Linked DNA regions of Rhinolophus ferrumequinum. The protein of the gene in region 2 binds, or shares a complex with, the protein of the main gene of each other region. Links are inferred from orthologs where the notes say so. Each region holds a gene or a part of one and is shown on either strand. Other genes may lie near its edges.

Evidence for each region.
Region 1: the proteins of MAP2K1 (region 2) and KSR1 are in contact, whole or in part, in a crystal structure (PDB 9AXH), measured with the Homo sapiens proteins. The link is inferred for Rhinolophus ferrumequinum from reciprocal best matches to the Homo sapiens genes MAP2K1 and KSR1. Residues at the interface, in NP_002746.1 of Homo sapiens: Asp217, Ala220, Asn221, Ser222, Phe223, Val224, Gly225, Thr226, Arg227, Ser228, Met230, Arg234, Leu235, Gln236, Gly237, Met308, Ala309, Ile310, Phe311, Leu314, Asp315, Val318, Asn319; in XP_011523731.1 of Homo sapiens: Asn767, Gln768, Leu769, Lys770, Leu771, Ser772, His773, Leu776, Val784, Arg785, Met787, Thr788, Pro789, Asn823, Gln824, Ala825, Ala826, Glu827, Ala828, Ser829, Ile830, Trp831, Gln832, Gly834, Ser835.
Region 3: the proteins of MAP2K1 (region 2) and KSR2 are in contact, whole or in part, in a crystal structure (PDB 7UMB), measured with the Homo sapiens proteins. The link is inferred for Rhinolophus ferrumequinum from reciprocal best matches to the Homo sapiens genes MAP2K1 and KSR2. Residues at the interface, in NP_002746.1 of Homo sapiens: Val81, Glu102, Met219, Ala220, Asn221, Ser222, Phe223, Val224, Gly225, Thr226, Arg227, Ser228, Met230, Arg234, Leu235, Gln236, Gly237, Met308, Ala309, Ile310, Phe311, Glu312, Leu314, Asp315, Val318, Asn319; in NP_775869.4 of Homo sapiens: Lys674, Arg818, Asp820, Lys821, Leu822, Arg823, Ile824, Gln825, Asn826, Ile837, Arg838, Gln839, Leu840, Ser841, Pro842, Gln877, Pro878, Ala879, Glu880, Ala881, Ile883, Trp884, Gln885, Gly887, Thr888, Met890.

The regions. Positions count from the first base shown.
Region 1 is NC_046304.1:19,619,154-19,630,006, forward strand, and holds the start of KSR1 (kinase suppressor of Ras 1), read right to left. Parts: upstream 4,050-10,853; 5' UTR 3,814-4,049; coding exon 3,583-3,813; intron 1-3,582.
Region 2 is NC_046289.1:44,580,199-44,591,162, reverse strand, and holds the start of MAP2K1 (dual specificity mitogen-activated protein kinase kinase 1), read left to right. Parts: upstream 1-6,355; 5' UTR 6,356-6,870; coding exon 6,871-6,950; intron 6,951-10,964. UniProt on the Homo sapiens protein: Dual specificity protein kinase which acts as an essential component of the MAP kinase signal transduction pathway.
Region 3 is NC_046308.1:11,440,633-11,450,884, reverse strand, and holds the start of KSR2 (kinase suppressor of Ras 2), read left to right. Parts: upstream 1-5,411; 5' UTR 5,412-5,605; coding exon 5,606-5,785; intron 5,786-10,252. UniProt on the Homo sapiens protein: Location-regulated scaffold connecting MEK to RAF. Has very low protein kinase activity and can phosphorylate MAP2K1 at several Ser and Thr residues with very low efficiency (in vitro).

The DNA.
Region 1 (10,853 bases), on a different chromosome or scaffold from region 2:
CACAGAATCGGCCCAAAGAGGATGAATACATGAGGGAATGAACTGGTGTGGGGCTTCAGGCCCCGCTGTGAAGCCAGCTAGGTATCCCCACGTGAGCATATCTGATGAATGAGAACACTCTATGCTGTCTCAGTGGAGTTCTCAGACCCCTCAGAGGGTCTGAGTGAGATGGGGTACCAGGTGCTGCTGGGATGAAGTAGCCTCACCACTTCTGTTTATAGATTCAGACCCTGGGTTCAAATTTTGTCTTCCTCCCCTTTCCCACGTAAAGAGAAAAACTATGTGTGTCATGAACGTTGGTGGATTTCCAGGAAATCTCATCAGACGGAGAAGCGACCAGCACCAGGTAGGCAGGTCGGAGGCAAACATTAAGCTTTGGCTCCTTCCACTCTTTTGGATCCAAACTGGACTACTCTGTGGAGAAAGTCATCATAGGCAGCCAGGCACGCTGACCCCTGCACACTGTCACAGTCTGCAGTCTCCGGCACCAGCAGCTGGGCCTGGGGTCAAGGACTTCCAGGAGCATCTCACGTGATGTTTTTCCCAGTGAATGCTTATTTAACGAGGGCCGGAGTGGGCTGGGGTTCCTAAGACTTTGGGAGAAGTCTGGCGTAGTTGCGTAAGCCAAGCCCTCTGGTCAGTCCCTTCTCCAAAAGCCAGGAATCCAGTGTTGCAAGCACTGTCTCTCTGGGGGCCCTGGCCCTGGTATGTGAGAGGATCCTGCAGAACAGGAAGGAAAGCCAGAGTGGACATCACCACTGCCCCATGCTGCTGGGATGGTTTCTGGGCCTGTGTCACCCACCACTAGGAAATAAGAGCCAGCTATGAAGTAGCTTCCCCTAAAGGTGGCCTGTGGCGTGAACGCCATTGGATCCTCGCTAGGGAAAGTTTATAGGCAGCATCACTTAGTAGGAAGAATGTGGACTTACAGACTCACAACAGGTTCAAGCAGTCTCATCCCCATTTTACAGATGGGGAAGCTTGAGATTCAGAAGTCGTGGGACTTGCCCAAGGTCACACAGACAGAACCTGGACCCGAAATCAAAGCCATGGGCTATCCCATCTGCCATACTGCCCCTATCATCCGGAATCTTTGAGTAATCAACTTCCCCCCTATTTTAACAGTTTGATAAATCTGGACTTTAGAACCATTCTTAAACAGGGAATATACTTCTTTTTCATTTTTTTTATTAGTCTTGTAAAATTAAATTTATTAGCGTAACATTAATAAAATTAAATTTATTAGTGTAACATTGATTAATAAATTTCAGGTATACAACTACAAAACACATCTGTACACTCTTATTAGGTGCTCACCACCCAAGGTCTAGTCTCCTTCCATCACCTGTATTTGACCTCCCCTTAACCTTATTCGTCCTCCCCAAACCCCCTTCCCCTCTGGTAACCACCATTCTGTTGTTTGTGTCTATGAGTCTGTTTGTTTATTAAACAGGGATATTCCTAAACAGAGGTATGTATAACAAACACTGACTCAGCCCAATTGAGGCACCTTCACTAAACCACAGTGTTTAGAGCCACAAGAACCCAGAGATCCACACCGTCCCCCCTGTTCAGGTGAGGAGGCTGAGGCCTCCAAACTAGCTCCAGGGGTCTCAATTCCCATCCTCACAACAACCTGGGTCCCTCCTTCAAGAAGTAGCATGGACCTGAACTCACATGACAATGAAGAAGACAGTGAGCTGGTTCCCATTTATACTGCAAATGCACTTCAGATGGGTTTCTGGCTTGATCATCCCATAAACACTCAGGTGGGAGGCCACTGAATAAACCAGCTCAGAGACCTACACAGCTGGATGCTCTGGGGTGTCATGACGCCACACGTTGGTCAAAATGAGCTACTCTGGAAGTCAGGGTATCAAGAGGGCAAAGCGCCATTTCCAGAGAACAAGCAGCAAATGGTTCTCCTGTAGCCACTCTGCAAACGAGGAGAACTTCAAACCGCCATGGGGACAATCTGAGAGAGGCCAACACAGAGAACGTTCTCTCATGCCAACAACACAGCGGTCCAACCAGGCACATGCTGCTGGACAACGACCCCTCCTCCAGGAACTAAGCCTCACAGACCCCCTATTGTGTTGGTTTAAAAACTGAACTTTGCTGGGCAAACACACTGGGCTGTGTTTAAGAAACCAGTTTCTCTCACCACTTGCAAAACAGCAGCATGCCTGCAGAAGGGACAGTTGTGGGGGGTGCTGTTGGTTGGTTGGTTTTTATTTTTAAGCAAAGCCCTGGTCAGTAATGGTATAGCAACTGTAACAAAAATAATAATAGCCAGCACTGATTGGATGCTTCCAATGTCCGGGTTTTATAGCTTAAGAAAATAAAACTGAAAAACTCACCCCAGAGCATTTTAGATCAAACGGGGAATCAGGTTTGTGGTGTGCACAGAGGACTGGGTCTTGTAATAATTACCACAAATCACCAGCTGGCCCTATGACAGCTGGCAGAGGCAATTAGCAATAAGGGGGTGGGGGGATAGGCTGTGAAATTACCGTTCTAATAAAACAAAACATCGCCAGATGTGCAGAAGGCCAGATGTGGCAATGCAAGGTGAAGCCCCTTCTTCAAGCTGGAGTTACCTATTAACTGGTCTCTGGATTTCCACAGCCTTCCCAGCCTCTGGACAAAAGCAAGTTGGGAATGCACCAGTTTCCCTCTATTGTGTATGGGGGAGGGGGAGACTCCCCCTTCAGAGAACCCAACAACCCTTTTGGCTGCTTCTTCCAAATCCTTTTAATACCGCACTTCCACAGATATAATTTGAGAGAGGAGGGCGGGTATATCTTATTTCTTCTTTACACTGGAGGCTGTCTCCATCAGAAGCCCTTAAATAGTGTCATCTTCTCACCAAAGGCTCGTTCTCCAGCATAATCCTTCCTAAGCTAAAATCCAATGTTTGGAGGGGAGTGGGGAGAGTCGGTTTGAGCAGTGAAACGCTGTGGCAGTGCGAAACGAAAGCACCAAATGCCTGAAGAGCAAAAATGCAGTTTCAGCAACACTTTTTGAAAACGGCAGACAAGAACCTGAAGGAGAGGAAAGGAAGGGAAAAGGCAGTCTGGGGCGTGTGGGAAAAGCAGAGAACGACGGGCCTCTGCTCACACTTCAGGGGGACCTCCCCCCCCACCCCCGCCCCGTCACCCCGGCCCACGGCTGCTCCGCTAAGTCACACAGGGAAAAGTCCAGCGTGTGACTCAGTGAGAGAATGAGTCCTGCGGCCCCGCAAGCTGCAAATGGGGTGGGGGCGGAGGTGGGGAGGCAGGGGATGTCCGCGCGCAGCCCACCCCGCCCACCGTCTCCCGGAGTCCGCATCCTAGTTCCCACTCCGCCCCTCCCCCAAAAGCCCGCACAGAGGGGCTGGTCCTGGGTCCTCAAGCCGCCGCATCAGCGAATGGAGGAGGGAAGAAGCCTCAAAGGGGGGCGACCCGGGCTCAAGGATGCAACTGGGAAAGGAGTGAAGTGGAGCAGGGAGGGAAGTGTTGGGGGCCGCGTCCCAGGCTGCAGACCCCGGTCTCTTCCAGCCCAGCCCGGGTCCCCTACCCTCTGGCGTCGCGGCCGCCTTACCTCCAGGGTCCGGATCTCCTGCTGGGTGAGGTCGTTGGACACCGCACACTTGGTGCGCAGCCCGCGCAGGCTGCCGATGGAGATATCGATGAGCTTCTGGAGCTGGCCGCACTGCTGCAGCGCCCGGCTGGCCGCGGCTCCGGCGCCCCCCTCCGCGGCCGCCGCGTCCCCCCCGCCGCCGCCCTCCTTCTTTTCCCCCATCGCCGCCGCGCGCCTTGCCGTTCTATCCATGCCTCGGCATCGGGGCCGCGGGGTGGCCGAGGCGGGGAGCCCGGGGACGCGGGCGCCTCGGAAGGGAATCCTCGAGCCGGGAGGGCTGCACGAGGAGCGCCCCTCGGCGGTGCAGGAGCCCGGACGCGAGGAGAGCCGGCGACCGAGCTCACGGCTCCTGCCCGCCCAACCGCGGCGGCAAAGCGAAAGCCGCGGCGACCCGACGGCTGCGGTTCCCGGAGCCTTTAAGTGGCAGCAGGGGCCGGGTCAAGGCAGCTGGGCATGCTGGGACTTGTAGTCCACGCCGCGCACCTGCCTCCCGGCCCGCGCCTTCGGAGCCCCAGCCCGCGCCCTGCGCCTGGAGCACCGCGGTTCCGGCCTTCCCCTCCGCGGTGGGCGCTGGCGGTGTGGAAGCACCCGCCTCTGTGTCCCGGGAGTGGCTGCTCCGCGCCGACTCCTCCCCGGGACGCCCAAAGCCCGGGGAGCCTCGTCTCCCCGCCCACCTCTGTCCCCCACGCTCGCCTCCATCCTGGGGGCTTCCCGCGACCCCGGGATGGGGCGGGGCAGGGGCCAACGGCCCCTTGAACCAGAGGAGGAGTTGCATCCTGCAATTCCTCAGCCGCAGCCAAACCACGGAAGATGGGGACAGTGGAGGTTCCAGAATTTCTGTGTGGGTTTAGGGGCCGCCATCTAGTGGGAAGGGGCCTAAAGTGCTTGTCCTGTAGAGGCTTCTCAAAGCTGGACCCCCGATTGTCTATGTTAAAGGAAATGCTCACGCATGAAGAAGGACTGAAGGGCATTCTTCTAGACCCTTTTTACCCTCCAGAATAAGTGTCCCATCTCTGCCACCCCAACCCAGCAGGACAGCCCAGACGCTTGGGGCGGTACATTGATTGGTCGTGCCCTTGGGAGTGCTTTGGGGCCGACAGCCTGGGTTCAAATTCAGCCTCTACCACTCTCTGGCTGTGTGGCTTGTCAAAGTTAGGTCACCTCTGAGGGTCTTGAGTTTCCCCATCAGTAAAAATGGGGTTATAATAGTACCTAGCTCTTGGGATTCATATGAAGACTGAGTTCATGTATTTACAGCACTTAGATTGATTGCTGCCACATGTAGTTACTGGGTAAATGTCAGCAATTGTTACTATCTAACCTCATATCTTCTAAACGTAGCCCCAGACCCCAGCAGTGGGAATGGGTACAGTACCCCTTCTAGACTAGTAGTTGTCTGTTTGAGCCTTTCTATGCCTCCTCACTCAGCATTCAATCTCCATCAAATCACCATTCCCACACTCCCCTCCCATCTCCTACCGGTTCACATGTGCTCTATGATCTGGCTAAACCGAAAAGCCAAGACACAGATCAAAGGTCCCACACATCCATACTTCCAACATCTGCCAACCAGAGGAACTCTCTCTCTGAATTTTCTCTCGTAAGCTCCTTGGCTGCCCAAGTGGCTAGCTAAATTATCTTGGTATCCTCTTCACAGAGCCAAATACAGTGTATGGCACACAGTAGGCACTCCATAAAGTTGCACAACCCATTTCATTAATTCTTCAGGCAGGTCCTAAGCCGAGTTTCTGTTTCTCCTATCTCTCAGGCCAGATTAGTAAATTCTCTCTCTCTTCATTTTTTTTTTTGGGGGGGTGGGTAATGAGAATTGGACAGAAGGTAGGGTCCCAGCATTATATTCCTGCACAAACTATACATATAGTCAGTACTGGTTGGCAGTTTATTTTACACCTTCCTTTCATGTCATTTGAAATTTTGAAATAAATATTAAGGTCTGAAAAACAAAACCATGATAACTGAAATGTGCTTTTGCAAACTAACCCTTCCTCTGGAAATTTTCTGAAACACAAGAGGCTTCCCCGCCCCCACTGCCCCCCTCCCGCCCCAATTCCTCTCCAATTCCTGAGCCTTTCCACCAAGAACCACTGATACAATCCTCACTTAATTTGTAACAGGACTCCGCGTGCTGTGTCTCTGTATGAAACCCTCCAACCCTGACTGTTCCCTTAACCCCACCCTCCCCCATGAGGCAGAGTAATAACTGCCCTGAAAGAGAAATTGTATGACAGTGGTTCTCAAACTTGACAGCGGATCAAAATCTCCTGGCTCAAAAATCAAAGGCTCCTTAATACAGTGACCGACCGCACCCACACAGTTTCCCCTTCGGTAGATTGAACACAAGGCTGGAGAATTTGTGTTCTGACAAGTTCTCAGGTGATGCTGATGCTGCTGGTCTAGGGTGCTGAACTTTGAGGAGCCTTGGCACAGAGGGATGTCAGGTAAGTAGGCTCACAGCGCAGCCTGGCTGGTTTAGAACCTCTATTTGGTCAGCAGTCAGAGCTGCCAGGCTTGAGCAACTGACTCACTAGTGGTAACTCAATTCCCGAGAGATTTCCTGATTAAGTGCCGATTTATGCCTTTACATCAAGCTTGTAATTGCCATAGAGGCCTGGTCAACACATTTTCCCCCGGGGCCACTTTATATGGAAAGCCATATCCTGAGAAGACCGCTGCCTGCCGGTGGCATCCACACCGACCATGGCAAGCGGCAGTCAGCGCTGGAGACTGGGCAAACCCCAGCTCCCTGGCTGCTGTCCCACCAGGCTTCATGTAGCCAGTTCCTCTTCTGTGGACACAGTCTTCCTTCTGATTTGTTGAAAGCATGCAGTAAGCCACAGCTTTCCTTCCCGGTTCATCTCAGACACACTCGAGCCTTCTCTACTGGGTTTGGGTGTCCTGGCAGCCACATGTTTACAGAACTGCCTCTTGGAGATGCAGAAAGCAAGGATTTTTAAATAATCCCTTTATGCATCCTTTTAATATTCAGTAAGTATTCACTAAGTGTCTACTTATGCGGCAGGCCTCTGTGTTCTGGACTCTGAGAAACAGTAGTGAACTAAACCAGGAATTTATAGTCTGGTGAGAGAAGACAGAGAACAAACCAATAAGTAGAATGCACAGTGTATTAGGTCGTAACAGGTGCTATGGCAGCATAAAGCAAGGAAGGGGGACAGGAACTGCAGCATTTGCAACTTCAACAGAGCTGTTTTAGGGAGTGGGGTTCTCAGCTCCGTCTCTGAATCGCCATGTGACTTTGGGCAAGCCCCCTAATCTCATAGTCCCTCTCATTTGCAAGATGAAGATGATATGTTTGGAGGACAAATGGAGATGACTATGCAAAGTGATGATCACAAAGTAAAGGTTCAACATAATTATTGTCGTTTATTCGATAAGTACTGTGTGCGAAGCACTGTTCCAACCAAATGCCTTACGTCACTCATTTAATTCCTGTTCATTACTTTCCTTCCCCACCTTCCAGAGTGAGTCTCTTCTAGTTAGGTGAATTCATCTACTACGTGTTGATTCTTAGGTTCAATTTCAGCTCCAGATTCGTGAGACTTTCCGTGGTTCCCTTAGGACAGACAGTTCGCTCCTTCCCTCCTCCGCCCCTCTGCCTCAGGCACCTCCAGTAGCATCGCAGTTAAGTTTTCCTAGGATGGACTCCCCTTCCTACATCTCCACAACACAGCAGCCATGCAAGCATGTTCATGTTTCATTCTTCACAAACATGAAAAGGGAAGCTACCATGTATGTGCCAGGCTCTGGAATAGGCTCAGAGTGAAGGTAACCAAGTCCTTATTCACATGGAACAAATGGGAGAGTAGAGACAGAAAATTAACAAGTCAACAAAGACAGTACTAAAATAAATACAGAGAATGACCAGTGCTGCGAAGGGGGTTAAGCAAATAGCCATAGCAAGTTCCCAGAGGATAAAGTGCTCATTAGACAAAGAGGTCAGAGAAGTACTTTCTGACTAACTGTTGAACTAAGATCTAAATAAAGAAAAAGAGCAAGCCGCATGGAGCTCTTAGAAAGGGGCATTCTAGGCAATGGGAACACAACGTGCCAAGACCCTGAGGCGGGAACAGCTTGGCTCAGGAACAGAAGGAAGGCCAGTGTGTCTGCAGTGTGATGAGAGAGAAGAACAGGGGTTGGCCATGACGTGGGGTTGCTGGGCAGGAGCCAGATAAAGGAGGACATGGGCAGGAAGTTTGGATTTTTCTCTAGGTCTGTGTTGTTCCTCACGTGGTCCAAGATTACTGTATCACCTGGGAGCTGGTCAGACACGCAGCGTCTCAAGCCCCACCCCAGGTCAACTGAACCACAACCTGGGTTTTAGCAAGATCCCCATATGGCTTGGATGTATGTTGAAGTCTTAGAAGCATAGCTCTCTAGGGACATGGGAAGAAAGCCACATTCCTTGCAAGGGAAGTGCTTGAAAAGATCCCTCTGGCCACCACGTGGAGAGTGGATAGCAGAGAGACAGGGCAGAAGCGGGGGAGTGGGGGGTGGCTGATTTTGAGACTGCTGCCCATGGAGGTGCGGGAACAGGAGCAGCACGGGAGAGGAGATGATGGAGAAAGAGAGGGGATGGAGGACACATTTTGGAGACCGAGTCAGCAGGACAAGCTGATGGGTTGAATGTGGGAGGAGGAAAGGAATGATGGTAGCTATCCTGGCCATATCGCCTCTGCTCCTCCAGAGATACCGCAGGACTCTGTGAGGGGAGCCCTACCTTGGGTACCACAGTCCCTGTCCTATTCCCATCTCCACCCCCAGCATCATATCAGGACTCAGCAGATTTCTCTAAGAACCCAGGACACTGCAGGGGGAATTTTGGTTTCCTGGATTTCACCTTCAGTTAAATTGTCCAGGAAATGTGTGGCATCACCCTGGAGAGAGGCACTCTATTATTACATATACCTGTGCTCATTCATTCATTCATTCATTCAACATTTACAGAGCCCCCAATATATGCTCAACACTGTGCTAGACTCCGGGAATAGGGCAGTAAGCAGTACATCCCTTTATCGTTTATAAAAGACTTGGATGTGAGTTCACAGTAACCTGTGTTGTCTTCCTAAGACCCTTCCCGTGTTGTTTCCCGGCTAAAAAAAAACCCCTCGGCTTCCCCACTGACCTCAGAGTGAAGCATGAATTCCTCAACAAGTCCTACAAGGTCCTTCATTCCCAGGCCCTGCCATCCGCTCTAAGCTCCTCTGCTCCCCAAGACTTTTTTGAGTCCATGTCTCAGTTTAAGAATCTGATGAAAATTAAAAATGTCTCTCCAAGAAAGACTAATACACACACTCACAATAGTGATACAATGTCAGGGGGTTTGTGGTCCCCCGGGAGGGTATCCATGAGCCCCAGGACTGTAGTCAAGTTTAGGAACCCTGCCTAACTATTGGTCCTCGCTGCCTTTACTCAACAACCTTGGGCCACCTGTGGAGTATCATGTCACTGTGCCTTTGCTCAGGCTGTCACTTCTGCCTGCTCTGCTTCTTTCCCATGTCCCCACATACACTTCTGCTCAGCCCGTAGGTCTGGTTTACATGCCCCCCACACCCCACCCACAACAGAATCAGTCTTTCTAACTTCCACCGTCCCAGAGAACTTGGCACACATCACATATTTTGGTTCTCGGCTTGTCTATTTCCCTAACTGGATCGTGAGCTTCGTGGACTCACGCAGACTCTATATGACCTAGGAAAAGTTTTCATCTCTCTGAGCTTATATTTCCTCCTCTGTAAAAAGAAGTATAATAGGAGCAGGCCCAGTGGCTCAGGCGGTTAGAGCTCCATGCTCCTAACTGCCAGTTCAATTGCCACATGGGCCAGTGGGCTCTCAACCACAAGGTTGTCAGTTCAATTCCTCGAGTCCCGCAAGGGATGGTGGGCAGCGCCCCCTGCAACTAAGACTGAACACAGCACCTTGAGCTGAACTGCCGCTGAGCTCCCAGATGGCTCAGTTGGTTGGAGCGCGCCCTCTCAACCACAAGGTTGCCTATTCGACTCCCACAAGGGATGGTGGGCTGTGCCCCCTGCAACTAGCAACGGCAACTGGACCTGGAGCTGAGCTGCGCCCTCCACAACTAAGCCTGAAAGGACAACAACTTGACTTGGAAAAAAGTCCTGGAAGTACACACTGTTCCCCAATAAAGAACTGTTCCCCTTCCCCAATAAAAAACCTTTAAAAAAAAAAAAAGAAGAAGAAGAAGTATAATAAGCTCTCCCTCCAGGGTGGCTGGGTGGGATGAAAGAAATAAAATAAATAGGCCTGGCCCACAAGCTTTAACACGTGTTTCAGTGTAAAAAAAAAAAAAAAAAAAAAAAAAAAAAAAAAAAAAAGATGGGTTGCATTTTCCAGGTGAAGACACCAGGGCCTCTCTTGAGGGATACCGACCCCTGTGTGGCCTAGGTGCTCATACTAGAGGACACACCACCACCACCTGTGAAGTGTGTCAGAACTAGCTCTGGGTCCGGTTGCGGGAAGGAGCCAAGTTGAAAAATGGCCTTCTTGGCCCTAAAACTGAAGACAACCAAGTTATCATGGGCTTTTCCAGGCAACCTGGGAGACACAGGTCAGGGAAGGCCAGGAGGGGATGTGGGGCCCTCTCTGCCCCAGTTACCTCTTCCGAACGATTCAGCCATCTCCACTTTCAAGTCCTTGCCCTTCTGAAGCCATCAGGGTGCACTGTGTGCTCCCTGCGTGTTGGGGTTTCTTGTACCCATTTCCCGATCACTTCAACTCTTTCACTAGGGGCTCCAGCTCCCTCTCCCCCCTTATCCATTGTCGTCATCACCTTTACCACTGTCACCCGCTTCACGGCCTTCCTTCCCTTCTTACCCCATGTGGACTCCACGCTCCATTATGACTATCGCCCCCTAGCTAACCCCCCTCACTAAACTTGCCCCTCTTTTCCACCATATGAACCTGGCCGAGTTCCAGCCCTCATAAAACCCAGCCCTTCAGCTTCTCTAGGCCTCCACCAGAGCAGCTGAATGATGCTGGCGGAAAGCACACAGTCCTGCTGACGGGTTGTTCTTTAAATTCATGACCACAAGCCTCAAATTGGCACTCTTCATGCCTGGCAAGCCTACCAACCTTTCCTAGAAAGTTCATTTTCAAGTTCATGTTCTCAGAGATGGCTTTTCATACTTTCTTCTATCTCTACAAACTACCCTGCACTCTTCATCCTTCACTGAGAA
Region 2 (10,964 bases):
GAAGCCACATCCTTAGAGAACGATTGAAATTGCATCATCCCTCACCTTGTTGAGGCATCTTTTCCTTTAAATGAAGGGCAAGTGACCATTAAAAGTGGCTCCCAAAATAACCCAGTGGCTTCACTGCACTCAGAATGTCTGACATCCAGAATTGAGGAAGCGGATGTACCTCCTCTGAAGTGGGAAGGGAGGGTAGTGTGACCCTTCACACTGTCACCCTTTACTCACTGACTCAATAGGAACAGCTGCCAAACTCACAGGACCTTAAACATCTAGACAAAGGATTGTATTCCTTAGCAATTTATTTAGACATTTAAAATATTAGACCCACCCTGAGGAGAATGAATTCTTGGCAAAGGGAGTTAATGATAGTAAAGCATTGAATAAAGTCAGAGTTCTCTCACAACTAGAAAGTAGGAAAATATGATATTAAAATGAGAAGAAAATATAAGGTGGAATTTCTTCATATGAAATGACTTCTGTTTGCAATAACTAGACATTTTTTAAATTTTGAATATCCCAACTGAATGTGTCATAGTAAGAGAATAAAAGATCTTAAATTGTAAGAGGCAAATACGGACGTGCCTCTAAAATAAAACTCATAAATTGATAATATCATAAAATTCACTAACCCTATACTATCAACAGTGTGTGAGTATGGCTAAGATAAATACAGGAGCTCATAATGTAAACAGAAGTTATCACTGAGTAATGTATCAAGAATGGTTTTTCTGATCTTTTTTTATGCTTTTCTAGTTTTCTTTCCTAACACAATAAGCTGGTATTAGTTATATAATTTTTTAAAAATCCACAAAATTTGCAACAAAAACAAAATATTCAGAAGACGTAAATGTTTTAATGTAAGAAAGGCCTATGTTATTCTTTCACTTTAAAAAGAAAAACAGAACAAATAAAAATGCATTTTGGTCATCCTGTCCCATTTTCTGAGGGAAAAAAGTCTTATTGTGAATTTCTTTTTCTTTTCTCTAGTAATTGTTTTATTGAAGGAGAAACACACATCCAGAAAAGTACATAAATCATAAGTGGAATACACCTGTGTTATATATAGAGGTTGCCGGCATTAAGTACGCACATTATGGTTTTAATTTGCATTTCTCTGATAATTAAAGAAGTTCAGCGTCTTTTCATGATTATTGACCATTTGGATATCTTCTTTTATGAAGTGCCTGTGCAAGTCTTTTTACCCATTTTTTTTATTGGATTGTCTGTCTTTTTCTTGCTAATATGTAGGGGTTCTTAATATTATACAGTTTGGATATAAGTTCTCTTTGCAATATATGCATTGCAAATGTCTTCTCTCTTTTTTACCCTTTTTGAGGGTCAGAAGCAATTAACTTTAATATAGTCCAATTTATCATATTTTTCCTTTATGATTTGTGTTTTTGTGTGTGTCTTGTTTAAGAAATCTTTGCCTACCCTACTGTCATGAAGATATTCTCCAATATTTTCTTCAAAAAAGGTTTTAGTTCTATAATCCATCTAGAGTTGATTTGTTATGTAAAGAGAGAAGTAGGGGTTAAGACTTATTTTTTTCCATATGGATATTTAATTGACCCAGTGCATTTATTAAAAGAACATCCTTCCCCCCCGCGGTACTGTATTGCCATCTTTGTCATAAACTGGGTGATCAAATACATATGGGTTGATTTCCAGATTCTCTATTCTACTGCATTGGCCTATTTGTCCTTGTGCCAGTGCCATATTGTCTTAAATACTCAATCTTTAGATGGATCTCGATATCTGATAGTGTAAATCCTTCAGCTTTGTTCTTCGTTACCGTCTTGACTATATTTTATTTTTCCCTTGAATTTCCTTGTTCATGTTGCTATTGTTTTAATAACAGCTTTATGGAGAAACAGTTCACATAACATACAATTCACCCATTTAAAGTGTACAATTCAATAGTTTTAATAAATTCAGAAAGATGTGCAGCTATCACCACAGTCAGTTTTAGGACATTTTCATCACCTCGTAAAGAAACTCCATACCCTTTAGCTATCATCCTACTATCACTCATTCACCTGCCCCAGCAAGCCCTAAGCAACCCCTAATCTGCTTTTGGTCTCTATTGATTTGCCTGTTTTGGAAATTTTATATATCATATAACACATGGTCTTTCGTGATTGGCTTCTTTCACTTAGTATAATGTTTTCAAGGTCCATTCATGTTGAAGCATGGATCAGCACTTCATTCTTTTTTATGGGTAATATTCCATTGTACGAATATGCCACATTTTGTTTACCCATTCATCAGTTGATGAACGTTTGGGTTCTTTCCACCTTTTGGCTTTTATGAGTAACGCTGCTATAGACATTTATGTACAGGTTTTTGTATGGATGTACATTTTCATTGCTCTTGAGTATATTGTTAGGAGTGGAATGGCCGAGTCATATAGTAACTCTATATTTAACAGTTTGAGAAACTGCCAGACTGTTTTCCGAATATCTGTACTATTTTACATTCCCATTTTAATATTTTTAAAAAATGTTTAATGTTGTTTTTAATTGAATAAGTTATATATAATAAAAATTCAAACAATACCAAACGAAAAGGAAACCTTAGTCTACCCCCAGACTTCTTAGGGCTCCTCCTTGGAAGCGACCACGGTTAACAGTTTCTTTTGTGTCTTTCCAGAAATTTTCTATTATATAAAGCATATATGTAAATATATCCATTTTCCTATAACAAATAGGACCATCATACACAATGTTCTACTCTGTTTTTTCTTTTGTAACATAACACATTTTGGAGATCTTTCTATACCAGCATAGATAAGTCTATCTAATTCTCTTTGAATGACTGGATAGTACTTCTTTGTACAAATGTATGATAATTTATTTAATTGCATTCCATAATTTACTCTCCTCTCGATAGTGGAGTTGTTTCCAGTTTTTAAAAAGATTTTAAATATTGCAGTGAACATGCTTTTAAAGAATCTTTTTTTGGACATATGTCTAAGTAAATTTGTAGGGAAAAATCCTAACAGTGAAATTGCTGGGTCACTTATGGGACTTTAAAAAAAAGTTAGTGCCACAATGCTGTTTAAAAAGATTGCAGCAAAAAAAAAAAAAGATTGCAGCAATTATACTCCTAGCAATAGTGTCTGAGAGTGCTTCCTCCCCACACACACTTGATATTGAGAAGTGAAAGGTGATATCTAATTTTAATTTGCACTTCTCTATTAAATGAGGGTGAACATTTTCTCATATATTTGAAAACTCTATTACTTTTTCTATGAACTATGTATATTCATGTGCTTTGACCATTTTTCTGTTGGGTAGATGGTCCTTTTTCTTTCTTTCTTTATTTATTATTTTTATTTATTTATTTATTTATTTATTTTTTCTTTTTCTTTATTTTTAAGAATTGTTTTTATAGTCAAGAAATTAGACTTTTGTTATATATATTGCAATCATTTGTTTTCTCAAGATCTCACTTGTGTACTTATGTCTTTGTACAAAGCATTTTTCCCCCATGGAGAAATTTTAAATGCTTTTGAGGTTAATTTTATCAATCTTTTACCTTTATAGTTTTTGGGGTTTGTTCTTGCTTAGAATGGTTTTTTTCCATCCCAAATTTTAAAAAACTATTTTCTGATGTTCCTTTTCTGATGGACTTTCTGATGAACTTCTATGGTTTCATCTTTGATGAACCTGTAATTCATTTTTCACATAGGAGTAAACTAGAGAGTCACCTTCATTTCTTTCCCAAATGGCCAGTCAGTTGTCCCTAAGCCTTGTACTGAATATTCTATGTAAATGAAAGTCCTGGACATTTCCCAGATGTTTACATACTTTATTATATTTTACCAAAAATGGTGGTGGCCCAATGCTGGCTCATTCCACTTACATTTTTATTTGAGTGTTTACATAAACACAGGTTGATACTAAGCAAGTCACTTTTTCTCTTCCTTGGTAAGAAAATAGATAACATTCCAGAACGATTGTCCAAAAAATTGCTTACTGATTGAAATTTCTGGAGAGAAAAGCCAATATTTTCTTGACCAACATTCCATCATATGGGTGTATCATAAATGATGTAATAATTTCCCTTTTGTTGAATATTTAGGTGGTTTCAGATTTTAGCTATTTAAATAATACCATTCTGGTACATAGCTTTCCTAATTTCCTTACAGGAGATTCATAGAAGTGGGATTACTGAGTCAAAGTGTGTGAATACTACTGAAAATCAAAATTTTTTCCAGAAAGCCTCTATTAATTATTCTCCTTCCGTCAGATTATGTTTACATGATGAAAATCCACCACTCGCACCATTTATTTAGTTCCTCTATGTTGGGCACTGTTCTTTCACAATTTGATTTAATGTTCATAACAATCTGGTACAGTAGGTAGTATAATTCTCATTTTATAGATGAGTTAGCAGAGGCCAGAAAGAAAATAATCAGTCCAAGGCAGAACTGGAATGAATCCAGGTCATTTTTTCTCAAATTCGTGCTCTTCTGTTTGTTTGTTGTTTTCTTTTATTTGATTTTGGACCTCATAGAGTACCGAGTTAAACCTAGCTCTCAGTTCATGATACATTTTCATCATTGGTTGACCTTGTATTTCTTGGTTCCTCACATTTGTGATCTCACTATGATATGTACGTATGGGATGAACCATATGAAATTGCCAAAATCTAAGCACTTTTTACACGCACAAACGGCAACTCCATACGGTCCAGGCTAATACATAGTGTTTATCACATTGTAATCACTAGTTCACACACATATATCTGAGTCTTATTCTTGTCTATATGGTCAGCACTTATGTTAGGCACTTAGGAAAAGTTGACAGGATTGATGAATCACTGCCTATCTAAAATGGAAATAAGGAAAACTCCTATCTTGGGCTATTCTAACAAACTTAAACCACCAGGGCATTTCTTGATCTGGACTCCTCAAGCTACAGTGAGGGTTTAGAAATACCACTCAGTGGAGGCCAACCCTCAGCAGCATTCACAGAATCATAATATTTCCGTATTGGAGGACTTTCATATTTTTCACAGGGTGAAAATGAGGCCTTGAAAAGCTCAATCGATTTGTCAAAATTCCACCAGTATTCATTTGCACTAGTAAATATAAAACTGTGCTAGAATTAAGATAGCCTGCCTTGCTCCTCAATATACATTGTTCTGAAAAAATTAGTTTCAATTAATTTTTATGTTTATTATTTTACTCTGATATGAAAAGTTGGCATATTTAACATGAATACAGAGTGACATCTACACACACACATGCATACATTTACATGTTTTCCTATATATTGAAAACTATGTGTTCACATCAATACTTCCAATTCCAAAACAACACCACAGGGTTTTCTCTCTTTCCCTTTCCTTCCTTTCCTGATTTGAAACTTCTTTTTCCCACAGTGAGAAATCTGGCTATATTATCTTTAATCATATTTAGGCCCCCATCTAAGCTTCCATGCCTCTCCACTTGGCTCTAGGGCTACAAGATTTAGTGGAGGGCTGCCTACTTGGTGGGCACGCCCTCCTCACCCTCTCTGCTTTCTACAGCCTCCTTCCCTGCTTGAGTGGCTGACACCCTGCTCTGGACCACCAGTTGTAGATGCTTACTTTGTTTCTGCACACCTAATGCCTTTAGGATTACTTTAGCAAGGACAAAGGGGAAAACTGGATGAGCATATTTGAGTAGGCATTGTGCCTCTTTTATCTTAAGCTTTTTATTCTCATCTTTACTCTTCAAGTTTCATAGAGCTGGGCTTATTGGATGAAAGGGTTTTTTATTTAAGGCTTTAAAAAATATTACTAATCTGCTCTCAAACAGATTGCCCCAATTTACAACCTTATCAATACTGAGTATTCATCTCACTGTACCCTCATCGGTAGATCAGTGGTATTACATATATATGTATGTAATATATATATAATATATATATATATGTTTGTATGTATATATATAATATATACGTATGTATGTACATATATACCAGATTGTTAAGCACAAGGAGTCTCTCAACAAGTTTTCTAATCTCCCACTTTGCCTCTCCTCTTGTCATGAGAAGGGGTTCTTCACCTTATTTTATTTTATTTCATCTCTGTCAATGTAACTTAGTCCCGGGGCTCCAGTCACTACAGAGGAGGAGTCAGCAGGGTACCGTCCAGAATAAACTCAACACAACGGCTCCCTGGGGGAACCAGGATGCATGACGTCCTTTTCCGGAGGGTCTACCTGGCTGCCTCCGGTCAGCAGAGGGCGCTGTGGAACCCGCGCCGGACTCCGCCCCCAGGGCAGCGCGCCGCGCCCCCGTGACGTATTTCCGCGTCATCTGCCTCCGAGGCTTGCTCCCATTGGCTGTCGGCGAGGCAATTGGGGCGGAGCCGAGTGGGTGTGTGGAAAAGGCAGCAGCCCCAGTGGGGGGCGGGGGGCGAGGCTTCCCCCTTCCCCACCCCTCCCCCGCCTCCCGTCCCTCCCAGGGACCGCTTCGCGGAGCGGCTAGAAGCGCGGCGACGGCGGTGGCGGTACTTTCTTGGGTTGTGGTTGGAGCAGGGCTCTGGTGCGCGCTCGGCGGAGCCGCTCGAACCCGAGGAGACCCGTTGACTGAGGGAAAGCGGGAAGGAATCCCGGGCTGCCGAACTGCGCCGGCGAGGAAGCCCTTCGGTTCCCTGTGCGCCGAGCCCTGGGCGAGTTAGGGTGGGGGTCCCGCGAGACCGCCACCAGCTCCTCGGCGCTGAGGGGACCGCGCGGGGCGCGCCCCCTCGAAAGCAGCCCCCAAGCCCGCGACTCCCAGTTGGCCCCGCGTGGCGGTCGCGGGGCAGCGCAGAGGGAGGAAGCAGAGGGGCCGCCTTCCCCTTGGAGTTGGAAGCGCCTTTCCCGGGTTCAAAATGCCCAAGAAGAAGCCGACGCCCATCCAGCTGAACCCGGCCCCAGACGGCTCCGCGGTTAACGGCACCAGCTCGGCGGAGTAAGTATGGGGTGGGCGGCGACCGCCAGGCTGGGCTGGCGAGGTCCCCGAGGGGGTGCAGGAGCTTGTGCACCGCGCGCCGAGCTCCGCTCGAGTTCGTCACGTACGTCTCGGAATGGCAGGAGCGAGGAACTCCCGGCTGCCGTGGTATCTGTGACTAAGCACTGATTGTGCTCCGGATTCAGGCCAGTCAGTCTCGATTTTTCCCCTCTTTCCCGACCCCTTCAGTCATCCCTGGCCACAAGAAAATGAAAGATTGGTTCACCCGCCGCCCCGCCCCCCTCCCCCCGCTGTTTTCTGAATTCGATCCTCTGGGATTCTGACTTGTAACGGGGAGAAGGGAACACATTCTTGGAAAGAATTAAGATGTTATCTGCATCTTGGAGACTGGCTCAGGGTATGGAGTGGAGTTGGGACCAACTAGAGCATCCTCACCTAGGTGCCTGACACCTGTGGGCCGGGAATGCCTGGTTGCCGGCCCGCTGCCTGGCCAGCGGGGGCGTGTGTACACCGACAACCCCGTGAGGCTCTTCCATCGCCGACTTTGGGGGCTCCTGGTCCTTGCCCTTCTTCCTGGAAACCATCTGGTCTGATAGGGAGCGGCTTTCCTTTTCATCTGACTTCATTCATTCCTTCATTCTCTCTTTCATTCATTCCTGCATTCTGCAAATCACTCCTCACCAGTGCCTCTCCTGGCATTTGTTACTTCCCCGTGATCCCCACACTCCTGACACAGGAACACCAGGGCCACGAATACTACACACAAGATGCTCCATCTTTGCAGCTTCCAGGGTTGCTCACGAACCAGCACTCGATTACATTAAATTATAATGAGATTGTTTCATGGGGGTTTCTGAGCTCCCCCAATTTTTTTGGTTTGGGGTGAGGTACAGGAACGACTGTGTAGGGGAGAGAGACCCTGCTAGCTGGAGAAATAACCAGGAAAGATTTGGCTCTTATACTTTTACCTGCACACGGGAGACTTTAGGAAGCTAGCTGATTAAGTGAATGGAGCAGTCCTGAACCTTCTGCCCTTCGGTGATTTCTGTAACCTTCCTTCCTCTCTAGATTTTCATAGTCCAGGGACCTGTTGGTGACTTTGTCCATCTCTGTAATGATCCTAAGGCCAGTAGTGGACCTGTGGTGTGAGCTCAGCCAGGTTCTTCACACCTGCTCCCAACAAATCCTCTTCAATCCCCTAGTGTCTGTTTTGCATGATATTGACTTGTACAGGTCAGTGCATTGCTTTGCAAACATTCATTTAGTTTTAGTGTACAGAATTTTATCCCCTTAAAACAGATTGAAAACCCCCAGAGACAGGGGATTCCTTAGTAACTGTCACTGTTTTCAGGACTAACTTTTGACCTTTTGTTTTGAACAGAGTGAATTCTGGCTGAATGTTGTGACCTGATCATTCTGCTCCTATTTGATTTGGAGGAAGGTACTAAGTAGAAGTACCTGTTCATTCTGTTGTTAATTGTGACACTACAGTTGTATTCTTGCAAAGGGGAGGAAATTTCATTAACAGAAAATCATACAGAGAGGAAAAGAAGAAGCTACCCTGGAGCTGATGGCAGAAAAATTTGGGTGGGACTGGGAGATTCTAAACAGTGGTTAAGAGGTTGGACTCTGGAGTTAGGCTAAGTTTGAAACTTGGCTGTGTTACTTGTAGTTTTGTGACTAGGGACAAATCTTTTAGTCTTTTTAAGGCTTAGGTTTAGTTTTTTCATCTGTGAAAATGGGGCTAATGATAGAACTGACTTAGGGTAGTTGTGAAGATTAAATAAGCTAATACATACCGTGTTTCCCCGAAAATAAGACCTAACTGGACCATCAGCTCTAATGCGTCTTTTGGAGCAAAAATTAGTATAACACACGGTCTTATTTTAATATAGTATTTAAGACCGCGTCTAATATAATGTAATACCCAGTCTTATTTTAATGTAAGACTGGGTCTTATATGTTATAAGACCGGATCTTATATTAATTTTTGCTCCAAAAGATGGATTAGAGATTATGGTCCGGCTAGGTCTGATTTTCGGGGAAACATGGTAGTAAATCTTCCATAAACGTTAGTTAGTGCCTTTGTTAATTGGATAAATGTTGAGAAGGCTGAAGGAAACTGGAAGGTAATTTTCATTCCTCCGGTGGATATGTGTGTGTGTTAAGGTGCCTTTGCTTCTGGATGACTCTCCCTTGCTTAGTTTTCTGTGCCATCTGCATCCACCTCCATGACTCATTGCTGTGTTACAATAGGAGGCATCTTTGTGTAGGCTGCCTGAGACAAACAGGGACTGTTCCACTACATTTTCTGGCACTAATGGGACAAGGGTTGGTATTAGAAGCTGTACACATCTTCATCTTTCACCTTTGAGAGTGTTTCTCAAGCAAAGCTACTGTTACCGTGATTTCTGTGATTCCATCAGGGCACAGTTGTGAACTCTATCATACAGTGTAAACTAAAGAAGAAAAAAATCCATTGACAGTAAAGAACTATTGGTATTAAATTGGCAAGATTGCTTCTCTGTGGCTCCCTGGCACCTTGTCTGAACGTAGCGCTTAACCCGTTCAGACAGAGCTAGGTTATGTGGAACCTGAAGTTTATGCAGGTTCTGGGAGGTGCTTGAAGAAAATGAATACAAAAATACTTCTTTTGCAGGTTTTGCAAAAAACGTATGATCATATTGGAAGGGTGCTAAGTGTTGGAATGAAATTAATTGGGAATAAGATCATATTCCCCTCTTTAAAATGTTTTCATGGTTTCATTGCAGTTAGAATAAAATCCAAACTTCTTATATTGGACTATGAGACTCTGAGCCACTGTGTGGCTCCCACCCCCATCTCTTTGATTACATTTCCTGCTGCTCCTTTCTTCCACCACATTGGTCCTGTTTCACTTCCTCGGTGGGATGATCCGTGCTCCCATCAGGCCCTTGCATGTGCTGTTCCTTTTTGCCTGAATCATCCTTTCCTCTTCTCAAGTTAGGAAGGAAGCAATCTTCACCTCTCTACTTAAATGTCATTTCCTCAGAGATGTTCACAGACTACCTAAAGTAGATCCCTTTTTCTCATGTCACCTCAGTAGTTTTTTGCTTTTTTTTTAAAAAAAAAAGTTAATTTTTTTTAACTTTTATTTATTTAAGTGTGTTTTTCCAGGACCCGTCAGCTCCAATCAAGTAGTTGTTTCAGTCTAGTTGTGGAGGGCACAGCTCACTGTCCCATGTGGGGATCGAACCGGCAACCTTGTTGTTAAGAGCACTGCACTCTAACCAACTGAGCAATCGGGCCACCCTTGCACCTCAGTTTTTAATGACACTCATTCACTATCAATAATCTTTTCCTAGGGTATTTTTAATATTTCTCTCTTCTGTACGCCATAAACTATAAGCATAGGGCTGCTTATTTTTGATTCACTGTTCTGTAAGTAGTACCTAGAATACAGTATTTGGCACATAAATAAGTGCAGAAATGTTTGTTGAGTGAATTGTTGAGTGAATGAAATTTCTAATATTTGTACAATGTGTTTAATAATTTTTATACCTTTTCATTTTTTCTTTTATTTTCCCTCTTATTCTTATTCCCCCACCCCCATTTGCTTTTCTTTCACAGTCACTATTCACTCACTCTAGGGTATTCAGTGTATAGTCTTATCAGTCTACCCTTTTGTTAGGTATATGTGTACCTTTGTGAGGTAGATAGTATTGTTTTGTATGTTTCTGTGCTTAGAATGCTGAATACTATTGTGCTATTATTCAGCCTGAAAAAAGGAGGTCCTGCCATTTGCGACAACATGGGTGAACCTGGTGGACATTATGCTAAGTGAAATAAGCCAGACATAGGAAAAAAGTACTGCATGGTATCACTTATAAGTGGAATCTTAAAAAAGTGGAATACACAGATACAGAGTAGAAAGGTGCTTGTCAGGGATGGGGGGGTGGGGGAAATGGAGAGCTATTGGTCAAAGGGTAGAAAGTTGCAGTTATGTAGAGTGAACAAGTCTAGATCTATGTATAG
Region 3 (10,252 bases), on a different chromosome or scaffold from region 2:
TGCCTAGTCACAATGCAACTTAGAAAACACTGGGGCCAGCTCATTGCTAATGTGAAGGACGTGGAAATATGGACTGAGACTTTTCCTGACGACCCAGAACTTCAGCTAAAACTTCAAAGGTGAGGGCAGTGGGTAACAGTACTTCCCCCTGCTGTTAAGAGGTGGCCAGACTGGTCCTTTGACCGTCAATAACCATCAACCTCCAGCCTATATAAGACAAAGTCAAGATTTTATCCAGAGGAGGTTTCTCTGACAGGAAACCCCTTTGTAGCAGGGGTTTCTTCTCCCCTCCCAATCTCCAAGCCAAGAGAGGAAGGTGAAAAGAAGAGACTGGGCACACCAAGGTAGAGGGGTGTGTGTGGGTGTGTCTGGCATCTCACCGCCGGCTGAAGGCTGCCTGCCTAGGGCTGCCCATGATAACAGGGTGAGGATGAGGGCAGCAGGACAAAATGCATCCTGTTTCCCATGGGCCAGAGCGTATGTGCTTACGCTTGAGTCACCCTGAAAAGACTCACGCAAGAGGACAAACTGCCAGGCAAGGGAAAGTCTGACAGAGGATGTGGGAGTACTTCCGGGGTTTTGAATGTAAAAGGGGTGTGCAAGCGGTCACCTGGCAGGTCCACTGAGTCTCTATAAGGTCCTCAGGGAATCTCCCAAGAGGCATTCCATGTAAAAGAGCCAGCATGTGAGTGCTTGCCAGGACACTGGGGGTGGAGGGGGTGGAACCTCTGGCACTCAAGAGAGAATTATACCTGTACTCACCTGTTCTTAGCATAGGGTCCCTTTTCCACTCATTCCTCTGCTCCTGTAACAAGGTGAGCTACAGAGGAGGCAGGAAAGGACACACCTGCCCTAGTCTCCACTGCAGATTGCTGCGCCATTTGTGGGTCAGGCCAGAAGGGGCAGGGAAGAAGGTAACAAACTAGATATGAGGAAGAAGGTTTGATTGCACTAGACTAGACTTCTAATACCCGAATCCGAGACTGTTCTTACAGTTGATTCTAAAAGCTATGGGATCTAATGAGACATTGCCAAGTGCAGCGGATGTAGTGGCCCAGTAACGATAATTTATTCCCACTATTGATAAAGCCATTCTGAGACATGCGTCATTCAGAGGTAGGTAGTACACAGTTTCTGGGATGCCATACAATAACAACACAGTTCTCATCAGTTAGCTCCAGTTTTCCAAGCTTGAAATTGGTGAGGTTCTTATTGATCTGAGGTGCCAACCACCATAAGCCATACCAGGGGCAGCAAATGCAGGAAATAAGAATAATGAATGATGGGGGCTGAGTTGGCACCTGGTGAACTGGAGAGCCTGTGCCCCACCTGAAAGGGATAGCTTTCTCTCGCATCTAGTCACTTCTTCCCGACTGTGGCTAGATGTTCCCATTTTCCCGGAAAGGCCAGAAATCTCCATTTTTTGGTTGCATCTCCCGATTTTGGAATTATTGCCAAGAATATTAGCCAGGGTTCCTTGTTGCAAATGATACAATCTACTCCAGGTAGTTTAAGCTTTAATCGGGCAGTACCCTGGACTGAATTGCGTCCCCCAAATTCAGATGTGGAAGCCCTCACCCCCAATGTGTCTTTACAGCTTTTAGGAGGCAATTCAGATTAGATGAAGTCAAAAGGGTGAAGCCCTAATCCAATAGGGCCACGGCCTTATAAGTAGAGGAAGCCACATGAGCCATGTCTGCCATGTGACGACACAACAGGAAGGTACCATCTGCAATCCAGGAAGAGAACTCTCACCAGAACCCAGCAATGCTGGTACCTTGATCTCAGATTTCCAATCTTCAGCCCTGGGAGAAAAATTTCTGTTGGTTAAGCTGTTCAGTTTGTGGTATTTTGTTATGGCAACCTGAACAGACTAAGACAAGTGGTTAGAAAAACCAATAGAGTCTCTAGGCAGGGAGGAGAGCCAGGCTTAGGCTGCGCTGCCCAAATGATGCCCCAAGCACACCATGGGGCTGCCCCTGTAAACACCATGCCAGGCCTCTCAGCACGAACGCCAGTCTTAGCCACGGGCAGGACACCTGCACGCAGGTACACTGACTGCCATGGTCACAGTCAGGTAGATTCCTTCTCTTTGTTGCTACCACTGCAGTAGGACAGAACCTAGATCCCATGAAACCTCCTTGCAAGGAAGTTTCTGGAAAAGTGCTTTGGTTTTACTTATGGCGAGATGGGACTCATTTTCCAAACATAAAAAGGATATTCAAAGAGGGCTGGCTGGGTGCAAAGCATAACAAATGTCCACGATAGCAATCAATTGACAAAAATGGGGGTGGTGGTGGTGGTGGCGGTTACAGCACTGCCTGTTGATGACTTCTGACCTATGGGTTGCTTTCATTGCTTCAACTTCCTCTGAAAACAACTAGAAAAGCCAGACCAAATCATCACCATCATCGTCATCATCTACTTAAAGGCACTCAGAGAGCTGGGAAACAACCAGGACTAGAGGGGCCAAGGTTCTGGAGAGAGAGGAATTGTGGTGAGATGAGCTGACATTCTGTAGCCACTTTTTCCTGCTGGTGGGGGACAGAGACACCAGCAGAACCTTTGGCAGTCTCAAAGGGCTGGAGAGATAAAACTAGGGGATTTGAGAGGCTAATATCCTAGGGAGAAAGGAGGGGCAGAAAAGTGAGCTTGATAGTTGGTGGTTTCCCCTTAAGACATTTGGCAAATTCTGAAACAGTGCTGGCCAAGAGACTAAGAAGCCAAGCAGAAAGTCCCTGAAAAAGAGGGCAGTGTTCAGCCTTGCCATATTATGGAGATAAGGATTAGAGCTCAGCACTGGGAGGGTAGGGGCTGCCGTGAACACCTAAAATTCTCGGTTGGAATCCCTGAAAGGCAAAGCCATAGAGGTGGGGACCCAAGGTAGGTGCTGTCTTATGAAAACTGCAACCCAGCCTCCTCCCAGCTCAGCCTCTGATTGGATTAAGATGGTCAGTCCCCGTGCCATCTGTCTTGCAGAGAAAGGGTGAGCCTTCTCTGGAATTAGATAGCTTCACCTGGAGACTCTCCATATTTTTTTTTCATGCACAGATTGTATGGCATTCAACAAACATTACATGGCTTGCTAAGAGACAGGACTAAATTACTGAAGACAAAGAGAAAAATAGTCAATAGAAACAGACCCCACAGGTGACCGAGGTATTGGAATTAGACAAGTGTTTTAACCTTAATATGTTCAAGAAAAACAAAGCAACCCCCCCCAAAAAAAGAAAACAAAATGGGAAAAATAGGTGAAAAGAGAATTTTATCAGAGAATTGGAATTCATAAACTTCATAGTCCAAAAGATTGAGAACACATAGAACTCCCTTGAGCTTCTCATCAACAGAGGGATTTTAAAATGCTGCTTCAGCTCCGTACGAGCTATAAAACCCTATGGCCCACAATCTATAAAAAAGTTTGCCATGACTGGCTGTCGTTCTCTCTACTTCTCCAGTGACTTCCTTGAAGGGACACCTATTGTACTGTATGTTCTGAGTCTACTCTGGCCCATAAGCCCAGGTCCCTGGCGTGGAGCCGTGTTCACCTGGATAAAGAGATGCATTTTGCTAATTATCCTAAATACATTCTTTGGGCAATGTGTGTTGGGACTACGATTAGTCAAGATGGTCAGGGAGATAAAACCTCTCTGAGATGACATTTGAGTTGATGACACTGAGTGATAAAGAGCCAACCAGGAGAGGATTAGAGGGAAATGTGGTCCAGACAGAAGGGACGTAGAGGGCAAAGAACTCGGAGGCAAGAAGATGTTTGGTGATTTCATTCGAGTCTACCAGCTTTTCTGTAAAGGTCCAGATAGCAAATATTTTAGGCCTTGCAAGTCTTAACAGTATCTGTTGCAACTATTCAATTCTGCTGTTATAATGCAAAAGTCAACACAGACAATAAACAAAAGGGTGGCAAGTGCTCCCTTTTTATTTATGGACACTGAAATGAGAATTTCTTATAATTTTCACATGTCAAAATATTCTTTTGATTTTTCCCCCCAACCATTTTAAAGTATAAAATCCATTCTTAGCTCTGGGGCCATAGTTTGCTGCTATAAGGTTGGTTAGGTAGGCTGGGATCAGATTACGCAGGACACATGGGACATGGTGACAATCAGGTTGAGGTAAAGCCTCTTTCCCTTTCCACTTGGAAAGCCACCCGTCAGGGGAACTGCAGATCGGGGTACCAGTTCTGGGAGGGCAGCTTCCTACAGCTCGTGGAAGAGCATAGGTTCCTTTTATTTTTTCCCCCAGTCACAAGAAAGGACAAACGAACAAAAAGACAGGCACGCGCGCACACACGGAGCCAGAAAGCCAGAGAGGACGTGCCCAGGTTCACGCGGACGCTTCTCCAGCACGCACTGAGCGTTTTAAAGTTGGGCGCACACCTGCTCCCAGGCAGCGCGCACCTGCTGAGCAGCACTGCGTCCTCGTCTCGCGAGAGCGGGGCTGTAGTAGTGGCCCCCACCCCCCCCCCCACCAAAGCCCTCTCCCCGCCCCCCTGCCCAGCCTCCGCGCTCTGGCACACACGCTGCCGTCTCCACCGCCCCCGGGAGCAGCGCTGGCCCGCCGCGCGCGCTGCCCCCGCGCCCCGCCCGCCGCCCGCTCGCACGCACGCCGGGTAGTAATTTCACTTTGCCACGCGAGCTCCGCATCCCCTAGAAATCCCGCCCCCCCGCGGCCCCTGGGGAGCCGTCCCTTCCCCGGCCAGGTGCGCGAGCTCGCGCGCGCCTCCTCCGCCGCCTCCGGCGGGGCCCTGGCGCGCCGGGGCCGGGGCCGGGCCGGCTGGGGCGGATGCGCGCACGGCGCCTCTCCACCAACCCGCTCCCCTGCAGGTCCCTCGCTCGCTCTCCATCCCTCGCCGGCGCTCCCTCGCTTCCCCCGCCCTTTGATTGACAGGCAAGATGTCGGTGTGGAGCGAGGCAGGAGCGAATGCAGCAGCCGTCACCCCCGGAGCCCGGCGGCGGCAGCGACAGCAGCAGCAGCAGCGCGAGGAGACAGCAGCCAGCCGCAGTCGCCGTCGCAGCCGCGGGAGCAATGCGGACAGCATCCTGAGAACGCGCTAAAGCACCCCAAACAGTGGACAATGCCGTGTCCCTGCAACTGGGAGAGGGGCAAACCAGATTTTTTTTGACATAAAAGCCAACCAGCCAAAAATATATAATTTTGCCCTTCACGGAGCCGGTGTGTAAAGAGTGAGCGCTATTTTCCTTCTTCTCCGCCTCTCCCCCGTCCTTGCCTCCCCCCTCCTCTTTTTCCTCCCCCCCCCCCTCCCGAAGTGTACGGACAGCATCACATCACCTGGTTTGCTTCTGAGAAACAGCATCTCTCCTTTTCAGGGACCAGAGACTCAGAGAGAGGAGACGTTCTAATGGAGTCGGCTTGATACCCCAAAATAAAATAATAAATTTTGGCTCTTGTCCCCTCCTCCCACCCCCCCCCCACCCTGTGTGAGATGTTGGGTTCCTTCTTCATGAGACATTGTTGAGAAGTCGCAGTGGTTGGAGAGGCGTGGGGGTAGACTACCTCTACTCCCCCCCCGCCCCCCTTTTTTCTCTCTGAGAGAAGGAGGAGGGGAAGGGGGCTTGCAGAGCAAGCGATGGATGAGGAAAACATGACGAAAAGCGAGGAGCAGCAGCCTCTGAGTTTGCAAAAAGCCTTACAGCAGTGCGAGTTGGTCCAAAACATGATAGACCTGAGTATCTCCAACCTGGAAGGGCTTAGGACCAAATGTGCTACCTCCAACGACCTCACACAAAAAGAAATCCGGACCCTGGAGGTAGGTGTTGCTTAGGGATGGGGGCGTGGGGGGCTGGATGGGGGAAAGCAGCCCTGCCTTCCCTCCCCTTTCTCCCCACCGTCCCCTTTCCTTTGATTCCGTTTGTTGGGGGGTTGGGGGTGGGAGGGTAGCAAGAGGGGCACGATGTGGTTTTCTGTGATTTATCTTCTTGCAAAGCCTGCACTGGATGTCCCTTTGCTGTACTGCTGTCGTCTACGCTTGGCTGGGTGGTGGTAGTAGTAGTAATTGTTATTCTTTATTATTATTCTTGCGGCTGTTGTTATCATTCGCTTCCTCTCTGAGGAGTGAGTTCTCGCTCTTTTCCGCTTGTGGATTTGTTTATATGCCACGGGGGTTTGTGTGCTGGGTAAGACATTAGGGCGCTGCAGAGAACCCACGTGATCTTCCGCATTCTGCAGGTGGTCAAAAGGTGGTTTTTGCTCCCGGAATGGGGTTGCCTATAAATATAGACCTCCTCTCCCGGCCTCTTTCCCAGCCCCTGTTTGCTCCCTGGATTTCGTTGTTTTCTGTTTTCTTGGTTTGTTTTTTTTCAGTGATATACATGTCAGGAGGCAAGATGCATTTAAAAAAATCCTCACTGAGCTACCCATGTCCAGTCCAATCATTTTGATGCAGGGAGCTGTTGCAGGCCTAAAATGTGTAGAAAGATTTTAAAAAACCAAAAAACAAAAAAGCTTGGTTCAGCACACACAAGGGGTGTGGGAAAATACTCTTGAATCTCGGTGGGATAGCAAACCAGGTGATGCCCTGCTGTCTGTGCACTTGGGGAGGAGGAGGAGGGAGGAAAGGGGTCGGGGGAGGAGTTATCTTTGGCTGTTGTAACATTCTCTCCAACAGAACTTGAGGGGGAGTTTGAAGCAGTTTTGTGTGGGGGGGTGGGGGTTGGGGTAGATGCAACGTTACTCAGAGAGAAGATGGCAGAAATTGTTTCTTCCGAAGGCCATTTGGTCAAAGGAGGATGGTTGCAAGAGCCTTAGAAGATGCCTGGTGTCTACCCAAGCGTTGGGCACCCACGTTGTTTGGAACATCTGAAGGGCCCGACTCACTTCCCTCCCTTGAACTGGCCCAGCTGTACACATGGCTTGATTAAATTTGGGAACTCCCATTAGCTGGCAGTTGCAGAGGGTGGTGACAGTAGGGCTGGGAGCAAAGGAAAGAGACTCTTCCTGTGGTGGAGTGGGCATGTGCAGTGCTGGCAGCTTCACTGTTGGCAGCCCATGGCTTTCCCAGGTCTGAACTCGTCAGTCCTTACTGAGTCCTTTCGCCCTCCTGCCCCCGTGCTAGTCTGGATGAGCACCCACTGATTCCCGTGCACGTCTTTTCCCTCCATGGTTTTAGATTTGGCTGGATGTTAGAGGCAGGAAGGTCATCAGTTGGAAAATAGAGTTAGTGCTGTGTGTGTGTGTGTGTGTGTGTGTGTGTGTGTGTTGAATATGCTGTTTGCTACCCTAGAATACATGTCTCTGTGCACCTGTCACCTGGGAAAATAATCCTCAGAAATGAAATAAGATGAATGTCAAGGGGTGTCGGAGGGCTAGAAATGCTGTGGGGAGGCCCACGTAGTTTCTTCCTTGGAGCTTTGGGAGAGCAGTGTAGGTTAGGACTCTGCTGCTGGGAGAAAAAGTATGGGATGCCCTGAGCCAGCCTTCTGTCTGTCTGAGCAGTGCCCAAGATCCGACTCTGTTCCGAATGGCATGCCGTAAATAAATAAATAACCCAAAGGGCCACCTGCGGCCTCTCCTCTTCCTCTGAGCCGGGAGTCCCACATGCTAGTTTGTGGATTGTTGTGTAAAATTCTCCTCTTTGCTTTTCCTCTGTTCAACATGCTCCACCCTCTGACAACCTCTGGACAATGGGGATGGTCGCAGTGGACCCTGGATCTGGTGGCTGCTTTTCTGCATGGTTGTTTTCCTTTTAAACGGGGTGGGGAGGGTGGGGTTGGAGATATTGGTATGTGAGGCGGGAGGTTACAGTTATTGGGACTGCTCTGACCCGGTGTACCTCAGAGCAAGCCACCAACCACTCCATCCATATTGCCCAAGGAAGGGTCTCGAGCAGTGATGCCAGTTCAGGCTTCCCAGATTTCTAGGGCTAGAGTGGGGTCACTGAAGATGGGCTGGTGACTCGGGGGGGTCCAGCCAGGTGCTGCCAGACTTCACTTAGGCTTTGAACCCACAGGGTGGTGGTTGTTTTGTTTTTTTCATCCCAACAGTTGTCAAAATTTGTATGTGAAAGCTACTCAGGGAGCTGCTTAAAAATGCACGTGCTTAGCCTTAACCCCAGAGGTTCTAATTCAGTGGGCATTGGAGGGGGCCCAGGACTCTGCATTAATGAACAGTGCAGCTGTTTATGATGCATGTTTTCATACTGACACTTTGAGAAATAGAAATCTATTAGGAGATAGATGTCATTTCTCAGCTATTTCATGGTAACAACTTACGGCTCCCAAACACTAAATAAAATATTAAATCGAACAGCCCATCCCTGAAAACCTGGGTAATAAGCAAAATTTACTAAAATGCATATACCCCTGTAGAAACAAAAATATACAACATGGATTTAGCTTTCAGGAAGCATACTTCATGGTTGGAGAGGCAAGGCTTATAATATATATGTGAAATAATGATGAAATCCAAACAGGTAAAAATATAGGGAAAAGCCTGTGGGTCCACTAGGAATGTGTTCAGCTGCATGAAATGGAAAATCCAATCACTGTGGGTAAGCAAACAGTGGCTTCTTTTGCTCGTGTAACAAGAAGTCTGGTGGTATCCAGCTGCTTGAGTTGGCTCGGTAAGTTAATAATATCAGGGCTGAAGTCTTTGCAAATTCTCATGGTTGCAAGATGGCCCCTGAAGCTTCAGCCGTTACACCCAAGTTCAAGGTACGAAGGAAGGGAACTGGGTGAGTGTGAAGGCATAACGGGTTCATATCGTTGTTTGGTTCCCCCAGGACACCTCCGCCTCCCTACCCCACAGATGATGTGTAATTATATCTTCTTGACCAGAACTGGGTCAACTGGCTAGTGCTAGCTGCAAGGCTGGGAAGTGGAGAAGTGGGAACACTTATGATTAGTTTGATGGGTCATGATCTGTTGCCTTGGTTGACCTGTTGCCATTCATACAAAATCAGGGTGCTGCTAGCATGGAAGAAGGCGTGAGGGATGTTGGGTGGATAGCTAGCACATCGGCACGGTATGTTTTAGGGAGATGTTTTGGTGGAGACGAAAGACCATGAATTTTGGAGTTAGACTAATGCAGTTTGGAATTCTAGCTTTTCTACTTTACCTTGGGCTAGTGGTTTAATTTTTCTGACCCATGGTTTCATTTCTGGCAAAATGGCAAGATTACGTACCTCAGAGGTGGTTGTGAGGATGAAAAGAGGTGACATTTTCAGGGGTCTAATGCTATCTCTAGCACTGTTCCTGCAGATGCTAAATAAATGACAGCTACTATGATGGCATGATTAACATTACATGGTGTGGAGTCTATGACATTGAAGGGAACAGCTCAGATCAGAGGGAGTGAAGAAAGGACTAGAGCAGCCTTTCCAAAGTATGTTCTGTGGATCCCTAATTCTGTGGAAGATTAGCGTTTTTCATTCTTTCGACAAATGCTAAAATCCACGCACTGTGTTAGATGCTGGTGGTCAACAAGTACTCTGTAGATGAAATGAATTCCATGGTTAATATGTTTGGAAACAGCTGAGTTAAGCAAAGAGAAACATGTGTCTTTACTGCAGGACTTTTCAGAGCCTTTACTATGCCCTATACATGTATGTTGTGACTTTCCAAGAGAGGATAGAGTCTGCAGTCTCCTTTTTTACAGGGATATCTCTTGGGATTGATGTTCCATGGAACACACCTGGGGAAATATATGGCAAAGCAGTTAGGGAAGTGGTCCTGGTTGGGGACCTGGGGACTCTGAGTGGAGTGAAGAATGGGGAGGGTTTTGATTGCAGTAGGTGGCTCGCTGGATAAGACCAACAAACCTGATGAAGGCATGAAAATGCCTTCATGGTGCGGCTCAGAGACCAGTTGGCCCAAAATGGCAGTACCTGATACAGTGTCATAAGAAATGAATTTAGGTCGCTAACGCCTGGGCTCTGACATAGGATGGGGGATCACATCAACAAAGTTTCATCCGTTTGAGGGAGGAGACTTCTCCCTCAAAGGTTTGGGAGCGATTAAATAAAGATATTTAAAGGTTAGTCTGGTGGCTGCCTGCAGCCTGCAGCAGGGGCCGTCAGACTTTTTCTGTAATGGGACAGATAGTAAATAGTTTCGGCGTTGTGGGCCATATGGTTTCCATCACAACCACTCAAGTCTGCTTTTGGAGCGTGCAGCAGCCGTGAACAATATATAAGTGAACATTTTCCAATAAAACTTTATTTATGGATCCTGAAATTGAAAATAATGTAATTTTCACATGTTGCAAAATATTTTTCTAT